Linked DNA regions of Kluyveromyces lactis. The protein of the gene in region 3 binds, or shares a complex with, the protein of the main gene of each other region. Links are inferred from orthologs where the notes say so. Each region holds a gene or a part of one and is shown on either strand. Other genes may lie near its edges.

Evidence for each region.
Region 1: the proteins of SAC3 (region 3) and CDC31 are in contact, whole or in part, in a crystal structure (PDB 3FWB), measured with the Saccharomyces cerevisiae proteins. The link is inferred for Kluyveromyces lactis from reciprocal best matches to the Saccharomyces cerevisiae genes SAC3 and CDC31. Residues at the interface, in NP_010443.3 of Saccharomyces cerevisiae: Tyr778, Leu779, Met782, Asp783, Arg785, Ala786, Glu787, Lys789, Arg790, Asn791, Ser792, Thr793, Leu794, Lys795, Lys796, Lys797, Phe798, Phe799, Glu800, Lys801, Trp802, Gln803, Ser805; in NP_014900.3 of Saccharomyces cerevisiae: Leu18, Glu20, Gln21, Glu24, Glu27, Leu31, Phe32, Met34, His43, Glu44, Val47, Lys50, Ala51, Leu52, Gly53, Arg92, Glu97, Ile98, Arg100, Ala101, Leu104, Phe105, Ile113, Leu118, Arg120, Val121, Ala122, Glu124, Leu125, Glu127.
Region 2: the proteins of SAC3 (region 3) and THP1 are in contact, whole or in part, in a crystal structure (PDB 5UBP), measured with the Saccharomyces cerevisiae proteins. The link is inferred for Kluyveromyces lactis from reciprocal best matches to the Saccharomyces cerevisiae genes SAC3 and THP1. Residues at the interface, in NP_010443.3 of Saccharomyces cerevisiae: Met86, Ile87, Thr92, Ile93, Leu95, Val96, Gly97, Pro98, Leu99, Ile100, Pro103, Asp104, Asn105, Leu106, Gly107, Phe108, Gln109, Lys110, Arg111, His113, Arg116, Leu118, Pro119, Phe121, Leu122, Ile123, Asn124, Gln125, Glu126, Ser354; in NP_014569.1 of Saccharomyces cerevisiae: Leu23, Ser24, Gly27, Arg28, Ile30, Ala31, Gln34, Lys35, Thr38, Arg73, Asp74, Val75, Asp76, Pro77, Trp78, Ser79, Ala80, Trp81, Ser82, Ser83, Ser84, Asp85, Leu86, Ile87, Phe88, Leu123, Lys126, Leu127, Phe130, His131.
Region 4: the proteins of SAC3 (region 3) and SUB2 are in contact, whole or in part, in a cryo-EM structure (PDB 8U8E), measured with the Saccharomyces cerevisiae proteins. The link is inferred for Kluyveromyces lactis from reciprocal best matches to the Saccharomyces cerevisiae genes SAC3 and SUB2. Residues at the interface, in NP_010443.3 of Saccharomyces cerevisiae: Arg120, Gln125, Asp182, Ser186, Ala187, Lys188, Asp189, Leu190, Ala193, Ile194, Phe240, Pro243, Ala244, Ala245, Ala246, Ala247, Arg288, Arg291, Gln292, Thr295, Tyr296, Asn298, Glu336, Gln337, Lys340, Glu347, His463, Leu465, Asn466, Lys467; in NP_010199.1 of Saccharomyces cerevisiae: Ser13, Asn15, Gly63, Lys65, Pro71, Glu72, Arg75, Ile78, Asp79, Cys80, Gly81, Phe82, Glu83, His84, Pro85, Glu87, Gln145, Asn148, Glu149, Arg152, Lys155, Tyr156, Met157, Pro158.

What each region holds. Positions count from the first base shown.
Region 1 is NC_006039.1:835,238-839,222, reverse strand, and holds CDC31 (centrin), read left to right. Parts: upstream 1-1,862; coding exon 1,863-2,366; downstream 2,367-3,985. Other genes in the region: NIP100 (Nip100p), read right to left, coding at 1-1,594; MRPL40 (mitochondrial 54S ribosomal protein uL24m), read left to right, coding at 2,668-3,558; HNT3 (DNA 5'-adenosine monophosphate hydrolase), read left to right, coding at 3,790-3,985. UniProt on the Saccharomyces cerevisiae protein: Functions as a component of the spindle pole body (SPB) half-bridge. At the SPB, it is recruited by KAR1 and MPS3 to the SPB half-bridge and involved in the initial steps of SPB duplication.
Region 2 is NC_006040.1:314,703-319,692, forward strand, and holds THP1 (Thp1p), read right to left. Parts: upstream 2,506-4,990; coding exon 1,144-2,505; downstream 1-1,143. Other genes in the region: type 2A-related serine/threonine-protein phosphatase SIT4, read right to left, coding at 1-470; YNK1 (nucleoside diphosphate kinase), read left to right, coding at 3,152-3,610; UPF3 (Upf3p), read left to right, coding at 4,023-4,990. UniProt on the Saccharomyces cerevisiae protein: Component of the SAC3-THP1 complex, which functions in transcription-coupled mRNA export from the nucleus to the cytoplasm.
Region 3 is NC_006040.1:1,417,649-1,423,383, forward strand, and holds the start of SAC3 (Sac3p), read left to right. Parts: upstream 1-1,899; coding exon 1,900-5,735. Other genes in the region: HOM2 (aspartate-semialdehyde dehydrogenase), read left to right, coding at 1-541; RKM5 (S-adenosylmethionine-dependent methyltransferase), read left to right, coding at 735-1,703.
Region 4 is NC_006041.1:1,957,501-1,962,113, reverse strand, and holds SUB2 (ATP-dependent RNA helicase SUB2), read right to left. Parts: upstream 2,345-4,613; coding exon 1,031-2,344; downstream 1-1,030. Other genes in the region: FDO1 (Fdo1p), read left to right, coding at 1-488; KLLA0_E21913g (uncharacterized protein), read right to left, coding at 2,704-4,110. UniProt on the Saccharomyces cerevisiae protein: ATP-binding RNA helicase component of the TREX complex involved in transcription elongation and required for the export of mRNA out of the nucleus. SUB2 also plays a role in pre-mRNA splicing and spliceosome assembly.

The DNA.
Region 1 (3,985 bases), on a different chromosome or scaffold from region 3:
TTCGCTGCTGATCAGATTCCTTTGACAAGTGTTCAGTATCGGACAAAAGTCTTTCCACCGACGCTTCAAGAAACATTTGAATAGCCGTAAATAGAACCCTAGGATCCGATAAAGTGATGTCTGCATTTTCTAATAGAGATAATTGAACCTTGATTGGATGACTATTTTTTACTGATTCCAATAATAAGTCCAAATTGATCTTTTCTTTCAAATATGTCACACCAGCATCATATTTAATCATCGCATAATATATGAATAAAATTAGTTGAGATGTGCATATACTCACAGCGTCTTGGCTAAGAAGTTGGTCTCTCAGGTATATGATTTTAATTTGAGAAAGTAGCTCCACTTTGTTATCCACTTTCAGATGGCTAAGCTTTGCAGAAGATACCTCGTTCTGGAATTGAAGCTCATTATTCCTTAATTGTAACGAAGTAAGTTCTGCTTGTAATTCTTCAACTTCTGGTGACATTTCTTGAGAATATTGCCCCGATTTATTTTGCAGTGATTGTAATTCATTCTTTAAGGTTTTGTTGTTTTCCTTCAATGCGTTAATTATGCTCTCGTCAGTAGAGAGAGTTTCCTGAAGTTTCGCTATTTGAGAATTTAGCTCCGATTCGACCTCTTTATAAAGTGCTTCTAGTTCTTCATCTGCCAATTGAGTTTGTTTCAACTTGAGTAACTCTGACTTAAGACAATCAAGCTCCGTACTTAATTGATGGTTTTCTGTAGTAAGAGATTCAATGATGTTATTAGAATTACTATTCGCACTGAAGTGCTGTTTCAATTCATCTAATGTTTTTGTTGTTTCAAATAGTTTACTCTCTAAGGCTGATATTGTTCGCAAATATGTCTCTGCCTGGGTTTGCAGTTCTTCATTACTATTTTTCAAACCGTTGCATTGTTTCTGTATTTCTGTTAGGTCTGATTGCAGCTTTTGTAGTGCAACCGTTAATAATCTGTTTTGCTTGATAAGGGCATCTGATTCTACTGATTCTATCTGATCAGTGTTGACATCAACGTCTGCTTTTCTTCTTATTAAAATTTCTTCTTTATAATCATTAAGCTCCTTCAAAGCACTTTCATGAGCAATGGTCAAGCTTTCTAATTCAAATATCAGTGAATCATTGCGTTGCTCTGCCTCATCTCGTCCTAAAGTTAATTTCTCCAATTGTTCCTCGAGAAATTGCACTTTTTCAAGCTCTTTTGATCTCAATCCCAGCTCCTTTTCAAACGAAATACATTTGTCATTAACTGACTTGAGTTTAACTTCCAATCTTCCAATGATCTTTTTCAATCGTTCGGGATCTGATGAGTTAGAATTCGTAGTATCAGGATCCTGAAATTGTTGCGAGTTCGGTGCAGAATTTTTATAGATACCCTCTCTTCTACTGAATATACCATACATCCGACCTTTTCTACCCTCACTGAGTTCAAAGTACCTGACTCCCTTGACGCTACCATCGTTCTTCCCTAAGGGTTCATCTAACTCAACACCGATCCAAATCCCCGCTGCAAACTGCGTCTCGCCTATAAACCGTACAGTTCCTGCCAGGCTGCGTAGCACTACCCTATCTCCTAATTCCAGATCCATTGTTTCATTTTAGAACTAAAGAGTAGTTGATCTGGCAGTACTGTAAGGTATTCATCAGTTATTGCCTTCATTTCTTTCAGGATATGTGTTTATGTTCCTTAAACTCAATATTGTCAAAATAATCATAAACATGAAATCTTTAAACATATTTTAAAGAAGTTTCACGAAGTTTACGCGTGCAGCAAAAGAGGTAAATTAAGAGGTTCGATTGACTTACAGCCAAGACTCACAACGGCAAGAAATCTAACCCAATTCGGATCATAGAAACATGAATAACAGAAGGCCCAGTGGACGAGTAGCGAAATCCGTGGATAAATCCACTTTACAAAAGGAATTATTAGAAGAACAGAAACAAGAAATATACGAGGCGTTCTCACTCTTTGATATGAACAATGATGGATATCTCGACTATCATGAATTCAAAGTCGCTCTAAGGGCATTGGGTTTTGAACTCAGTAAAGGAGACATATTAGAACTTATCGATAGGTATGATGCAGACGGACGCCGGTTAATACAATACGAGGATTTTTACCTGGTAGTAGGAGAAAAAATATTGCAAAGAGACCCATTGGATGAAATTAAACGTGCCTTCAGGCTATTCGACGATGATAACACGGGCAAGATCTCATTGAAGAATTTGAAACGTGTAGCTCACGAACTAGGTGAAAACCTTACAGACGAAGAACTACGTGCCATGATTGATGAGTTTGATCTTGACGATGACGGAGAGATCAATGAAGAAGAGTTCATTGCTATATGCACTGACAATTAGTGCTTCACGACCATTTCCATTGCCACAGCTGGAGCCCTGTGCCGCATGTATATCTCACCTTGTATATCCTATGTAACATCAAGCTATAATACTAAATCAAATGCGAAGAATCTGATAGTCTAATTCGGATCACGTGCTTTCATTTTTCCCTTCCAAAAAAATTTGTCGATGAAAAACTTGAAGGAACGGAATCAAGAAAGACATATGTATCAATATGGTACTATGGAATGAACCACAAATGGTTTATGTTCTGTGAAAAGGACGGTGGTATTCGATACTAGAATAAAATAGATCAGCGGGTATGTCTTCATATAAACATTTATCGAAGGCTGGTGCCCGTTTTTTGGAGCAAGTTCAAGCGAAGAACTCTAATATTGCGAAACAATTTGCCAAGTATGAAGGTTTGACGATGCCAGAGTTCTTGAAACCATCGTTGCCTCGTGTCGAAGAATCCGAGAAGTATAAGAGTGTAAAGCAATGGAAATATATGCCAGGTGATAGAGTGGTGATAGTAAATGGAAAGTTTAAGGGCAATGTTTGTGCCATTACGCAGCACGACGTGCATACAAACGGGTATATTTTGGATGAGAATGGACCCACCAACACTGTTCCTGTGCCCAAGCAATTTTGGCAACAGGGGCAGAACAGTCATATGGTGAGTTTCCCTGTCCCCGTGAGCCAAGCGGACATCAAACTAGTCGCTGATCTCGATGATCCAGAGACTCCAGGTGTGGCTAAGACTGTTGCTGTTCGTGACATCGAATTCAAGGGTTCGTATTATGATTCAGATTACAAGAAAATTATGCCATATAGGGTTGTTGTTGGTGAGAACAATATGGTTGTTCCATGGCCTAAGCCGGAGTTCAAGCCAGATGGTGCATTGGCTACGCGTTCTGAAATTGCACGTCAACAAACTTTCTGGGTTGAAAGCGTAGTAAAAAATCCTGTTCCAGAAGCAGCATTGTCAACCATCCGTAACCCTAAGTCGAAATACAGAAGAGGTACCTTGACAACGAAGGAAATATCAAGATTGGTGGCTCCAAAAATGCCTCTAACGGAAGCAAAGAAAAGATACATCGAACAAAGAAAAGAATTGGCAGCATTGCCAAAACGTAAATTGACTGATGAAGATCAAGAATTGATTGGTGACAAGGTCTACCAACACTTCAAGAAATCTTTCGAATTACAATAAGAATAAATAATAGTTTTGGCTAGCACTTAACTGCCATTCGTATCCACGCTACTTGTACATAGATCATAATATCATACTTCATCGCACTTTTATCTGACTTTTTTTTTTACTACATGTTTATTTTGAATGGAAATCTATACGTAAAGGTCATTACTTGTAGTAACAGACCTCAACAATTTATGATTATAGTAATGACTAAATGATTAGATAACTGTTACTAGTTCATAACAAATGGATGAGTGCGGTCCAATATATGTTATAGAATGGAAGGAAAGTCCAGGCGATCAATGGACTATCTCAGATAAATCGGGGTTTACGACTCATTTATTCAAATTAAATGAAGACGCCAACAAAGATATTGTGTACTGTAAACATTGCCGAAAGCAGTTCATCGGCAAGAACAGAGATTTAATTGGTTTCCATATGA
Region 2 (4,990 bases), about 1.1 Mb from region 3:
TCAATAATAGCTGCCAAAGTTAAGAAATCAAACACTTGACAACAATACTTCCAAACCGTTGTGGAACCATACTTATTTAAACATTCCTCATAAAACCCATAAACTTGTGTAATTTGCCTCGACTCATGATTTCCTCTAACCAAAGTAATTCTGGAAGGATATTTCACTTTCAAACACATAAGAAGTGTGAACGTCTCCAAACTGTAATAACCACGATCTACATAGTCACCAAGAAAAATATAGTTTACTTGATCAGGAAACCCACCAGCAGTTCTGAATAGTTCTAAAAGGTCATGAAATTGTCCGTGAATATCACCACAAACAGTCACCGGCGATTGAACCGGCTGAATATTCGATTCTTCCATTAAGAGTTCCTTCATCATCTCGCATAGCTGTTTCATCTCAGACTCCGTCAAAGCCTGACATTTCTTGATCTTCTCAAGCCACAAATCTGGCCCATTATCTGACATTGTGATATTTTAGCACTCCGGAGACAAAACGCTCTATAGATAGATGAACTTATGCAATGGCAAATTAACCTTTACAAGGGAAGATAAAGTTCAAAGGTCAATAAAAAAAATAATAATTATAATAAAACCCAGTCCTTACCTGTGAAAAAATTGGGATAAATTCCTTCTGAATTTCTTGTAAAGTGATTATGATTAGCGTTCTTGTAAATAAAAACCACAACAAGCTTAAAACCTGTGTTTGGAAGTATTTCTTGCACCTTTTCTTTTCAACAAGAAACACTCACTCACTATAGGAAAATTCAATAGCTCAAACAAAGAACAGCCCTATATCACTACTCTTTGTTGATGGCTAAAAGCTTGTTAACAAAGTAGTTAGCTATAAGGATGTTTCCTTCTCTCTTTGTTTTCTGTTGTAATCATCAGTCCTTTTACAAAAATAATGGAAACTTCAACAAAATTTCAACTTCTCTTCAATTTCTTACTTTTTTTTGCAGAATGTGACCTGGAAGACAAACAGATATATGTGAGAGCATTCTTATATCTATATAGACATGTCTGTAAAAATTGAGTCTTCCAAAAGTGTTTCACGACTGGGTATGATAGTGGGACCCGAATCAGGTTAGGAGGGGCTGTGTCATCTATTTTTACATACTATATGTATATTATCTATCATTTACTTATCGAGCCAGGAATCTTCCTGGTTCAACGAAAATCTAGAGACGATCTTTTCATTGATATTAGGGAAGATTACTGAGATATCGTTAGTCTTCATCGTAACGCACACTTGCAGGCTTGGAAACACATTTCCCTTCCACAATTGTTGAATTGAAAGTGTGACAAGGATATTTTCAAGTGATTCTGCGGTGTAATTGTCTTTATATATCGATGGCATTTCAGGTGGATATAAACCGATGGATTTTGCTAGAATTGGTCTTATCACAGAGTATGGTAGTTTATTTGAATTGCGCGGTATACAGTAGTATAGGAAAATAGATCGCAAAAGGGATCTGAACGTTATAATGGGTAGCTTTTCCAATAGAACAATCAACAATTTAGATGATTTCAGCCACGATTCGTTCTCGTAAAGCCAGAAGTTTACTCTGTTCAAGTTTCCGTTTTTAACGGCAATCACAAGAGCTGTGTATTTCTGTGCTAGGATAGGGTCCCATTGAGATAACTTGTTGAAATCTGGCAACTTGCTGATAATGATACCACATGGAACTAAAAACTTCAACAATCTTCTCCTGTTGTTCTGTTTCGCAATAGAGTCGGGTAATGTGGCTAGGAGTTCGTAACATTGGTTCAACTGATGGAAAGCATTAACCATTCTATGGTTTAATAGGTAATATCTCCCCAAGTAATACCTATACTGGATTCTCTCTGTCAACGGGTATTGGTTGAACGAATAGATATTAGACTTTGGTTTCAAATTCTTGAAGATGTTAGCGCACGAAGATGGGGAGTTAATCTTGAAATAAATCATGTTCAATTTGTTTGAAATATAAAGCAAGACCTTCTGTTTCCCTGACAAATGATCAAATTCGACCTTATCATCATCGACCCTGGCTTTAATGCTATTGAACAATTTGGAAATGATGGAAGCAATATGGGTCAGAAACTGATGCTGTCTTGTACCAATGATCTTATGGTTAGCATCCAATCTAATAGCCATTGGAATGACCAATTCTGTTGTAGCTGTAAACAGTGGTACCAAAGAATCAATAGGGTACATTGTTGTCTCGTTTGTGAGACATGTATTCAAATCCTGGTAATATTGGAACACAGAGAAGGACGATTCCCATAATGAATATGGATTCAGTTCTTTACAGTACCCAAGAAATGAACTTACCAAATTATTAAACCTGGTCCATCTGTTCTCATAAAGAGAATGTGAATTTATCAGGGTCTCAAGGTCAATGCTGTCATTGGATCTCAAAAACTGTTGCAATTCAAGAATTAATTGTCCATTTCTTTCGATGTTTATATCCAATACACTAAAATCACCTGCCTTTAGAGCCCCAAAGAAATGGTCCATAACCAAAAACCACAAAGGAAAATCCACTGGCGCTTTTCAATTCAAAGTTTGTCCTATAAAGGTGATCTGAGTCAAATGTCAACCAGAAGTTTTTCTGATTTGTCTGATTCTAACCTTAATATTAGATGAGCCAGGTACAATGTTTCAAGAGACCATGATTTCCGTTTGTTGATTTTTCTTGTCACGTGATCGATAAAGTCACTTGAAGACTTGCCTCGACATATATCCATAAACACTCTTTGGGGTTTACATACAGTGTTTCGCCTAATCCCAACCTCCGAATGCGCTTGCTAACGATATGGACACCTTTCTGCTATTGTGTATGATGAACCATACTTTTACAGCTTCCTCAGTAAGAAGCCCCAAACATCAACTAATCAAAGTCACGTGCCGGAAAAATTTTCTCTCATTTTCGATTTTCCCCGGCATTTCTTCGTCTGCACCAATCTCATCGAGCATGAATCGGATCCTCATTCGTTGGCTCTCTCGAGAAATATTTCAATTTCGTTGATTTCAATTTGCAGTAACTTTCTTCTTTCCATGCACTTTATTTCAACTTCTGGGGTTAGCGATTGCTTATGTTCCATTGATTCTTAGTTCATAGCAGGATCGTACACAGAATCACGTATTAACTAACTCGAGAAAAATGTCTAACACTGAAAGAACTTTCATTGCTATCAAGCCAGATGGTGTTCAAAGAGGTTTGATCTCTAAGATCTTAGCTCGTTTTGAAGACAGAGGTTACAAATTGGTTGGTATTAAGTTGGTTACTCCAACCGAAGCTTTGTTGAAGGAGCACTACGCTGACTTGGTTTCCAAGCCATTCTTCCCATCTCTATTGTCTTACATGACTTCTGGTCCAGTTTTAGCTACTGTCTGGGAAGGTAAGGATGTTGTTAAGCAAGGTCGTGCTATCTTGGGTGCTACCAACCCATTGCAATCTGCTCCAGGTACCATCAGAGGTGACTTTGCCATTGAAGTTGGTAGAAATGTCTGTCACGGTTCTGACTCTGTTGAATCTGCTGAAAAGGAAATCGGCTTGTGGTTCAAGAAGGAAGAACTTATTGACTACAAGTTGAACCAATTGTCTTGGATCTACGAATAAATGTAACGTTGACAAATTGTTCACTTTATCAATACATATTCTTTCCCACAATTATTCCATATTTAAAGATGTCTTTTCTTATATGATGTGTATCTGTGTGTCGGTATTTATTACTATGTAGATATATCTCAAATACACACATTTTGAAATCCATTAAGCTTTATACTGCGATGTTGTATTCATATTTGTAACCCCGACTTGCGTTGGGTATATTCACGTTTCTACCAGCTTACTGATACGATTACGGTTCAATTTGCATTTATGTTTGTCATAGTATTATTTTACTTAATTGCACTAAAAAATTTCAGTTAGCACATCTGTTCTTCATCACAAATGCATCCCTAACGAAAACATGAGCTGTTATCACAATACCTCAGACAAGATCCTTCAGTAAAACTGCGTTCTTTCACGAATGCTCTCTAAGAAAAGAAATAGAAGGAGGTACCGGAAGAGGAGTGCTGACTCTTCCCGTGAATTCAAATTATGTATTCGATCTTTACCACCAAATTTAACAGAAGAGCAATTCATCAGCACTTTACAAGAGAACAACATCGATGTGCATTCATTTCAAAAATCATTCTACTACGTGCAAGGTCATTACTCCAGCAAGGTGTTCAAGAAACAGACTTTGTCTAGGGCATATATCCAATTGGACTCCTTCGAAACCATTCAATCGTTGTCAAAAACAATAAGAACATGCAGATTCATAGATGATTTGGATAACTCGATGATTCCAGATTTACAAATCTCGCCGTTCGTTAAGAAGTGGGTCAGTCCCAACGAGGTTAATCCTATTCAAGGCACGATTCAAAAGGACCATGTCTTTCAAACCTTTGTCAAATCATGGAAATTGATTAATGAAGATGAAACCAACTCATTACAGTTCAAGAATTTAAGTGTTATTGCACCTTTAAGAAAGGAATTAGAACGTGAAGAAAAAATGGAAGAAGAGTTAAACGGACGTAAGCAAAGAGCACTAATAGAATTGGCTGGTGATCCAACAAGCGAAGAAAAGAAGAAGAGGATCAAAAAGATTAAGAAAAAGTTAAGACTATTAGAGAAGAAGAGGAAGCTGAAACGTGCTAAGGCAAAGAACAAGGATAATCCGGACGAGAAAGATGTTTCTAAGGATAAATCAGAAGTTGAGAAGCCCAAAAAGTCTAAATCCAAACACAAATCCAAATCCAAATCTAAACCTAAATCGAAATCTGAACCGAAATCATCGAAATTTGACACTGCGACAACTGAGAAGAGTGCGGTAACATCCGAAGAAAAGCCAAAGAAGAAGATTTTGTTGAAACCAAAGAAAGATGATGTTCCCAAACCAGAGATGCCTGCAGATTCGGAGGTAACGAAGAGAGCAAGACGTAAAAAATCAAA
Region 3 (5,735 bases):
TTCCGGGGCTGGTTTCTCTCCAGGTGTCCCAAGTATCGATATCTTAGATAACATCATCCCTTACATTGGCGGCGAAGAAGACAAGATCGAATGGGAGACCAAGAAGATCTTGGGTGCTTTGAGTCAAGATAAATCTCAAATTAACCTATTGAGCGATGACGAAATCAAGGTTTCTGCTCAATGTAACCGTGTTGCTGTCTCTGACGGTCACACTGAATGTATCTCTTTGAAGTTCAAGAACCAGCCAGCTCCATCTGTCGAAGAAGTAAAACAATGTCTAAGAGACTATGTCTGTGATGCTGCTAAGTTGGGATGCCATTCTGCGCCAAAACAAACCATCCATGTCTTGGAACAAAATGATAGACCACAACCAAGATTGGACAGAACAAGAGACAATGGTTACGGTGTATCTGTTGGTAGAGTCAGAGAAGATCCTGTATTGGACTTCAAAATGGTTGTATTGTCCCACAACACCGTTATCGGTGCTGCAGGTGCAGGTATCTTGATTGCCGAAATTCTATTAGCCAAGAACATCATCTAAACGCAAAATGATAATTCTTCCTGAAGCAAATTTGAAAGGCAGTTTCTAGTGCTCCGAATATTTTTGTTTCTTTCACGTAATCATGTATAACCAGATAAAATGTAATTCATAATTCATATTTCGTTACAGAATACCTACAATGGGCACTAATCCATTTCAGCGCAGAGCTTACTAAGATGACGATCTGTTTATCATGGAATTAGTACTGCTCGATGAAGAGACTTTATATGAGTACATTTTCGAACGATATGTGGAATTAGAGGCTAACGCAAACGATTTATCTCAAGATCTCGGTATTCTGTCGAGAAACGAATCAGAATTAGAGATAGACATTGGGCCACATCGCCTAGTGACCAGGAAAAAAAAAGCACCAGAAAGAGATGAGTATACATTTAGTATACACCAAAACCTAACCTCTTTAAATTCCAACCGTGATAATAATAACTCGACGACTGGATACGTCATTTGGACCACGTCTACTTTTATTCTCAAATGGTTATTATACAATGACAACGCTACCATATTCACAAGAGGGGGTGTAAAGGATGAGGTAGATATTACATCCATTTTTCAATGTCAGCAAGATGATAAACTACGATATGTCCTTGAACTGGGCACTGGAACATCACCAATGTTTCCTATTGTTTTCTCTAATTACGTTGATAAATATGTGGCCACTGATCAAAAGGACATCTTGCCTCGATTAAAAGATAACATCCAAGAAAACCAGTCAGAGTGTAGACGGAGACTGCTTAAATCCAACACAATTGCTTTAGATGATCTTAAGAGACGTACTGAGTTGGAATGTCAGATTGACATAGCGCTGTTAGATTGGGAACTGTTCTCAGGTAGCAAGAAATCTAGAAACGATCCCGTTCTTCAATGCGGACCGAACTTCCATCTGACTATAATCGCAATGGATGTAATATACAACGAATACTTAATTGTACCATTTTTAACCACTCTTGAGTCGTTATTCGTCTGGTATACCGAACAACGTGTAACGGTATCGGCATTGATCGGAATTCAACTTAGAACTCAAGATGTACTTGAAATGTTCCTCGAAGAGGCTATCATAGAGAGACAATTCATAGTGCACGCCGTCGATGAAAAAGAACTTAACAAGTCACGTTTCATACTCTTACACGTAAATTTGCCCTAGTTCATATACACTAGGAGGGCTTCTCTCTCTATAGATACCTTAATGCAGTTCTTCTGAACATACTGCCGTAGCATTAATTTTTAGCATTTGAAGATATAATGAAATACAAAGAATCATAACCCAAGTAAACTATTAACCATTATATAGATGTTGAGTTGAAAACAACTCCTGCACCAGTAGGCCGTGCATTGTAGCCATGTTAGGGTCAATGTTTGGGGGTTCCTCCATACCACCGTCTGCTGCACCCTTTAGTATGCATGATAGCTCTAGATCATCTAGTAATCATGCGGAGAAACGCAAATTTAAGAGGCCTAATGGTAAATCTAGCAAGACTACATCCAACAATGGCTCTAAGGGGAAGCTAATAAAGAAAATGGTACCAACTTTGAGTCAGGATCAAAATGAAATCATTGGCACACTTTTTGATGGAAATCCAGCGATACTTGGGTTTCAACAGCCGACAAAACCAGCCGAGAGAGAACTACCGAGATATCTCATAAGACAGGCACCCATCTTGAAACCTGTACCGATAGTTCAAGACGAATGGGATAAAAAAAACCAGGAACGCATGCTTCAACTGGAAGACAACATATCTGATGTGACTACACTCTGGGAAACATTGAAGAAGATGAGAGACGAAGAAAGAGAAGTAATGGAAGAGAAAGGACTCGTTGACAAAGCAGATCAGGCGAAAGATCTTACTGAAGCAATCATTTTCCAAGGTACGTGTCAAGATATGTGTCCAATCTTTGAGAGAGCTAGAAGAAGTGTTGAAAACAATGTCGTGAGGTATGAAAAAGCTAATCCAAGTGATAAAAAAGTTGATAGAGGTAAAGCCTTAAAGGTATTCGCTAGACCTGCAGCTGCAGCTGCTCCACCATTACCGTCTGATGTTAGACCTCCTCATGTGTTATTGGGAACACTGGACTACATAGTAGATGAAATCGTCCCTCTACTACCAGACTGTGAAGCCTTTCTATGGGACAGGATGAGATCAATAAGACAGGACTTTACTTACCAGAATTACTCAGGACCTGAAGCCATTGATTGTAACGAGAGAATTGTAAGGATACATTTGCTAATTTTGCACCAAATGGCAAAGACAGATATTACCTTCAGTGTTCAACAGGAACTTGAACAACTACACAAGGCGATAATTACTTTATGTGAAATATACGACGAAGTAAGAGATCAAGGAGGACAATGCCCCAACGAAGCCGAATTTAGAGCGTACGCCCTTTTGAGTAAGATAAGAGATCCCGAATATGACAAGATGGCCCAGGACTTACCCAATGATATCTTCAATGACGAGCTAATGCAGTTAGCAATTACCTTCAGAAGAATTCTAGCGAACTCTAACCATGTGGAAAGAGGTGTTGTCGTAACGGAGAATTGCATGAATTTATACGACCGATTTTTTCAATTAATTCAATCTGATAAGGTACCCTTTCTAATGTCTTCATTTTTGCAGGTGTATCTCAACGAGATTAGATTTTATGCATTCAAATCTCTTTCTTTAGCGGTAACCAGAAAGGGAGGGAACTTACCATACCAATATTTTATAGAGCACTTTTTATTTCGTGATGCAAACGATTTGGAGACATTCTGCCGCTACTACTCCATAGATTTCGGTGATGGGAAGATATTATTGAAAAGTCTCACTGGAACTTCTCATTTCCTAGCAGAAACTCAGCCAATGAGAAAGAATTGGGTTTCATGCGTGGAGCAAAAATTACAGAGAAATACCACGACTGCTCTTATAAATAATCGAAAACACAATGTTGACACAATTCCTTCTAACAAGAGGTCTCTCCTGGACAACGTATCTCAACTAGAAGAATCACAGCTAACGCAATATAACCAAAACTTTGCTGGAACATCTGGTGCTAAGGAAACCCTTCCTATATCTGCAAACCGACCCTTTAGCTTCCAAACAAGTACTTCCCTAATCACAGAAAAGAATGCTACGGCCAATGGAAACCAACCGTTTATGTTTGGTACTCCGTCACAACCTAAAACTGATGTTAAAAAAGCCCCTAACGACGTGTCATTAGAAGGTGTAAAGCTCGGGCAAGCTGCACCTTTTGGAAAGACAGACGAATTTGTAAAAAAACAGGCATTACAGCAAAAACTGGAGGAACAAAAGCAAAAGTTCAACATGCAAAAGCAGTTAGACGAAAAAGCCCGACTTCTCAATGAAAAGCAAGGCTTAGAAAAACAAAATGAAGAAAAGCTGCGGAGACAGCTGGAATTAGAGAAAGTACAACAAGCAGCTATTCAAAGAAGAAATGAAATTGTCAATGAAACCAGCAGTAACATCTTTACTACTTTAATGGAGCAACAACTAGAAAAAACCATTAAAAATGAGATTCAAAAGAGACAAGCTAACGCCCTTCATATTGAAAATCTGAGCAGGGATTTATTTCGGTCATTCATACATGAACAAATATACTTCGTATTCCTTGAAGTGAGAGCCGATATATTTAAGAAAAAGATTATTACAATGCATGTAATGAAGAAATGGAGATCTAAGTTCAATAAAATACTGAAATTGAAGAAAATCAAACAACAAAAACAAGAAGAGGCTCTAAGATTGAGTAAGGAACTTGGAGTAGGAAAAAGAGTTCATTCCCTACGCTCCACTACAAAAAAAAATAAGTATCTGGACGCCAATTCCACTTTTGAAGCGTCTTCTTTCATTAAATCAGGCACAATGAATTACAGCACACCTTTACACTTGGAAGAAAATCATTTCACAACACCGGTAAGAAACAATTCAAATGTCTGGTCTCCTTTAGATTTGAAAGAAGTGTATTTTAACGAGTTGTTATCGCGGCTGCAAGGAATCTTGAAAGATAGTAAGCTTCAAAGCAAAGACATCAAATCACAAATTGACATCGTACTATATTCAAAGACCTGGGAATGTATCTCAGGCCAGTGGCTTTTAAGTAAGTTCCACCTAGCAAAGGACTCAACATACACGATAGATAGTCCGATACTAAATGCAGGCTTTATAAGACTAACCAACGATTACAAGACAGACAGCTTCAACAATGTCAATTTAGTATTATTCAATTCGGGTGTCACTGATTCCGACATATTTGATTTGGATATGAAACTACAAAAAGATGGAGAGAGGTTGATTGAGGTAATATGTGGAGTTGCATTCAATACCAATTACAAGTTCAAGCTAATCATAATATACTGGGAATCCATCGAAAACCCCAAAAGTACAACGGAAATCAAACAACTTCTAAAAGTTCACAAAATCTTGAAACGTTTCGGAGATATCATGTATGGCATTGAAGTTGTTAAAATTGTCGGATCTAATCCTGAAGCCCTAGTTGCAAACGGTTTAGCTAATGCCGCGCACGACTTCCAATTTGAGCTAACCGATCGTGGATTATACAACGAAACAAGAAAACGTCGCAGTTTACTCGGCGTTGGAATGGACACAGTTCGAGAACCATCTGCTGACATCGATGAAAAGATGCAATTGATGTTACAACAAGACAAAGACAAGAGTATCAGTAGCATCAAAGAAAAGTCTGCATATGCCTACTTGAAAAACCATGCCATGGCTTCTCCAAGAGCGAGATACAAGAAACTGCCAGTATTGCTATCTGAATCGCATAAACCAAAATATAAGACACCGATTCCTTTAGCAAACAGTCGTCATAGCTCTATCACCTCTGCTGATGTGTCTAATCCCTCACATTTGGTGAAGAAGATCAAACCCTCCAGAACTCAAATACCACCACACAATACGTCGGGAAATTTCGGTACACCAAGCCAACCACGAAGCTTACTTAATCATACAGCGGTTCTCACCACTCCGCACCTAGCAGGAATAGGTTCTCACAATGCATCTGCCAGTTCAAACGTTGCTAACATTTCTGTTCATTCAGATTTCACCACACCGTCCGCAACTTCAGCTCCACCAAAGCCAATGGCAAGATCATTCTCCATTTCGGAACATCCTACTCAACCAGACCACACTAAATCAAAGAGAATGCCAAGATCTGTTCCCGG
Region 4 (4,613 bases), on a different chromosome or scaffold from region 3:
TTATTTCAAGACAGTTACACTCGTCGGATTCCAACATGTTAAACACATTAGGAATACTTGCTACAAAGGTTCTTAAAGAGGAACAAAATCCGGAAAATGGAAGCATTCATGGGTCGACACTCCAACATTCTCCAATTGAAGACAAGCCAGAGAATCTTGATAATACCGAATCTGACATCTCTCATGATAGTACTCAGCTTGTGAATCATAGCCAGCAGTTTAATAATGGACTTAGTCCCTCAACAGCAAACATGGTGACTCCAGCCGCATCAGTTCCAGCAGCGCAGCATTTACCAAGTCTGAGTACGGTATCAGAGGTGACACCTGATTCACATTTGATTAGGATCAACAGCAGTTCAAATCAGAAAATAGAGCGTCCTGAACTGCCTATATTGCATCTCAATAGGCCATCGCTTCCGAAAGGTGCGGCACTACCAAAATTACGGAGTTTTAATACAGCAGATGGGACTGTAAAGGATGTCTTGTAAGAACATACTCTTTATTTGTTTTTACCCCAGAGTTATTATTCTATTTCTTATTTTCGTCTGCAGGAAGACCAAATGACAATAATAACACATAAAAATAAAAGAAACAGACGTCGTTTCTGCCGAACCACGCCAATGACACGGTTCGACTACAGAAAGCGTAACCTGCTTGTCCAGAAAGGCCCATATGTTTACTTTTCTCACCTGTAAAAGCTGACAAGCGGCTTGATAGACCTTATGTACATCACATAAATCCAGTTTATATTATATTCATGACAGACGTCTCCGCTTTAATTATCTGCAAGGGCATATGAGGAAACACTAATACCTAAACCCGACATACAATGAAGCTTTTTTTCATGAGAATTGAATTGATTTTATACACTTATACTCCAATTATGTTACTTAGTTATAATGGGACTATTGGAAATTCGTTTTAAACTGTATAAAAACCACATTTTATTTGATAATACACATTCCAGCTTGTTTTTGCAATTTTCTAGTTTTGGTAAAAAATTCTGAAGTAAAACGCTATGATGAAATATCTAAGTGTTCAAATAAGTAGATGGATCAACACCTTCTTCTGGGAACTCAGTGATCTTAACATCAAATCTTTCTTGGATCTTGGCCAAGACTTGTTCGTCATCTTCACTAGATATCATGGAGATAGCCAAACCCTTGGTACCGAATCTACCAGCTCTACCAACACGATGCAAGTATTGGTCTGCTTCGTTTGGCATATCATAATTAATGGCCAAGTTAATACGTTCGATATCAATACCTCTACCGAAAACATCAGTGGAAACACAAATACGTTTTTCGAATTCCTTGAAAGCCTTGTAACGAGCAATACGTTCTTCTTGTTTCATGTGACCATGCACAGTGATGGCTGGGAAGTTAGAAGCATTCAATAGTTTGGTCAATTCGTTAGCTCTGACAGTAGACTTGACGAAAATGATAACTTGGTTGAATTCCAAATCGTCCAACAATTGAGCCAACTTACGGTTCTTTTCCTTTTCATTCAATTTGATATAGTATTGTTGCAAACCGTGTAGAGTCAACTTGGCTTCGTCATCGACAAAGATTTCTAATGGATTTTGAAGGAATCTTCTACAGATTGGTCTGATTTCTTGGGATAGAGTTGCGGAAAACATCATAACTTGCTTATCTCTTGGGGTGGCTCTAAAAATATCTTGAACATCTCTTCTCATATCCAATTCTTCCAAGACCTTGTCACATTCATCAATGACAAAGTTCTTGACGTGAGATAGATCGATATGCTTGTCTCTAACCAAAGCCTTTAAACGACCAGGAGTGGCTACAATGATATGAGGGACGGTTTCCTTCTTGGATAGCAAATCAATATCGTTCTTATATTCAGTACCACCGTAAAATACAGCAGTCTTAACGTCTGGCATGTATTTGGAGAATCTCAAGTATTCGTTTCTAATTTGGTAAGCCAATTCTCTCGCGTTACATAGCACGACGACACTGACTTCACCTTGAACTGGATCCAATTGTTGCAAAGTAGACAACACGAACACAGCAGTCTTACCTAGACCAGACTTAGCTTGACATAAGACGTCAGTACCATGAATGGATTGAGGAATGGTATGTTGTTGCACTTCAGAAGGATGTTCAAAACCACAGTCAATGATAGCTCTGGACAATTCTGGCTTCAACAAGAAATCCTTGAAACCAGTGGAGTGAATACCAACATAAGAACCTTTCTTATCAGAATCCTTTGCTTGGCTCTCACCGTTACCCTCGGCATTCACTTCAGTGGCCTTGTTGTCAACTTGAACTTCTTGTTCGTTATCGGAATACTCCAATAAATCCTCTTCTGCTTCGTGAGACATTGTTTCGGTTGGGTCTTCTTCCTTGTGGTTGACAATACCAAGTTGCTTCTCAACAAGTTCTATCCTTAGATTAAACACGTATAAATCCTTAATTCAATTAACAACCGTCAGAGCACAACACGCACCTTTTCTTCATAATCTATGCCAAATTATTGTTTTGAAATTCTCTTACCTTTCGCTGTTTTTTTCTTACGTTCTCATTTCGTCGTTAAAACAGATATATTTCACTGTCGTCAGGAGTGATACCACGTACTACATGTAAGCAGTCAATTTTGCCACTGAGAAGTGACATTGGTTGATCACGTGAAATAATGCGGGTAATCTAGAACCCAATTAAATGCAGAAATGACAATAACAAGTCACGTGAGTTCAACAGCGCAAGTAGATAATGACTCTTCAAGTAAGCGCGCTTGATTGAAAATGTTGCAAAGAGTGACACGGGCATCAGGATCATGTATTTCTCTATACAACCGCGACTCATTCTCAGATATAGTTCGAATTAATTGCCGTATAGCGTCCCTTTGAGTGCGCGAATTATTGATGGCAACGGCTGGTAACGGCGTTGCGTTGGTGATTATTTCCTTAAGCATGACAGACACAGAGGTAAAGTTAACCATATCTTTGGTAGCCACCGCTGAATTCGAATCTTGTGTGATTTTCTCAAAAGTGACCGCAATATTATTATCCTTGTTTAAACAATTCGTGAGTAGGTCATTTCCCCAGGGAACCGTATACAATTTACCGTTTAGCTTGTGCGTTTTGACTAATTCTAGACATTGTGACCAGTCCCAATGTTCCGTCTGTGTTAACCCTTCCAAAACGACTAGGTCCGTAGAGTTAGCGTCTATACGTTTCAAAATGGAATTTAGATCTTGTAAGAATTGTTCCTTTGCTTCTTCAGGAGAGATGGGACTTAACTCCCTTGTAATTGGTTCACATAGCAAAGATATTGTCACATCTTTCTCTGTGCCAGCATTTACCTGCTGAATCTTCACTTTTAATGCAAAAAATATCATCTTATTGGCTTCGTTTGAGCCATGTGGAACGTATTTACAGATGTAGTAAAACTGATGGCATCTTTTTAATTTGGATTGCAAGCACCGAAGGAATAAATCATGCAATTGACTAAACTTGTTTTTCCATTGCCTAAAATCTTTAAATTTAGCGTTCAATACCCCCTCGCCCGTCATACCATATACCGTTTCTTCCCCATGTCGTCTTATGAAACCAGTGATCCATTTATTTCCCAAGTGTACCGCCCTTGTTGTGCTGGGTATGCACTCTCTTAAATCTGAGATCAATGGCAGATTACCATAAGCTAATACATAACCCTGCATATTTCGCACCATGTCGGATTCTGCTTCCGGGCTGAATCTCATTTGAGATAAGTGAGAATACGTTCTCGTTGTCTGATTTCTTAACTGCATTTGTAAATCGTGTTCATTATTTTCATCAGAGATTTCATCACTCTGGCCTCCAGCGGCGTTTGCCTTAGTTATCGTTCTTTGCCTCTTTTGTCCTTGATCTGCCTTCATCCTATCGTATAGCGTACTCTTAGGTATTTGAAAATGGAGTGCAATCTGTCTGATTGTGGGCTTTCGTTTTTTACCATATTTACTAGGTTTCAACACGTCCTTCTTGGGCTTAATATCATGCTCTGAATTATCAGTCCCTTCTTTACTATGTTGTTCCCGAATAAAATCCAACGCCAGCCTGATTCGCTCTTCTTTACCTTCCGGTAGGTCTTTTTCCAATAGAGTTTCCATTATATTACTGGAAGTTGTAGATCTTATCTTCTGCCCAATTTGCAACCTTATTTCGTGCGAATCACTTTCCAGTCCTCGTTAGCGCCGTCTGCTCACTACCTATAACGAGATCTAGCTTTATCTTGGAGTATCTGATTTAATAGAGAAAATACAAGCAGTGACGTGAGTAAAAAGCGTTGTTCAATGAAGCACAGTTTGGAATCAAGTTTGTCAATAAATCTCCTCCACAGTAAAGTGGAAATATGCAACAAAATATTACCTTTAGAGAATTGTTCACACTGATTCATTCTCATCACAGTAAGACGAGTTCTTATTTTCAAGAATAAGAACGAAACGGACTATCTTTACTTTTTCACAGGTGTCTTACTGTGAATGAAAACAAAGACGTCAAAAGTGTTTGTCCGACAAAATCATCAGTTCATTTGTGCTATAATTTCGATATGCTGAGAGAGGAACGCAGGTGTCACCATGGTTTCCTTCACCGGACACTATATCACGTGACC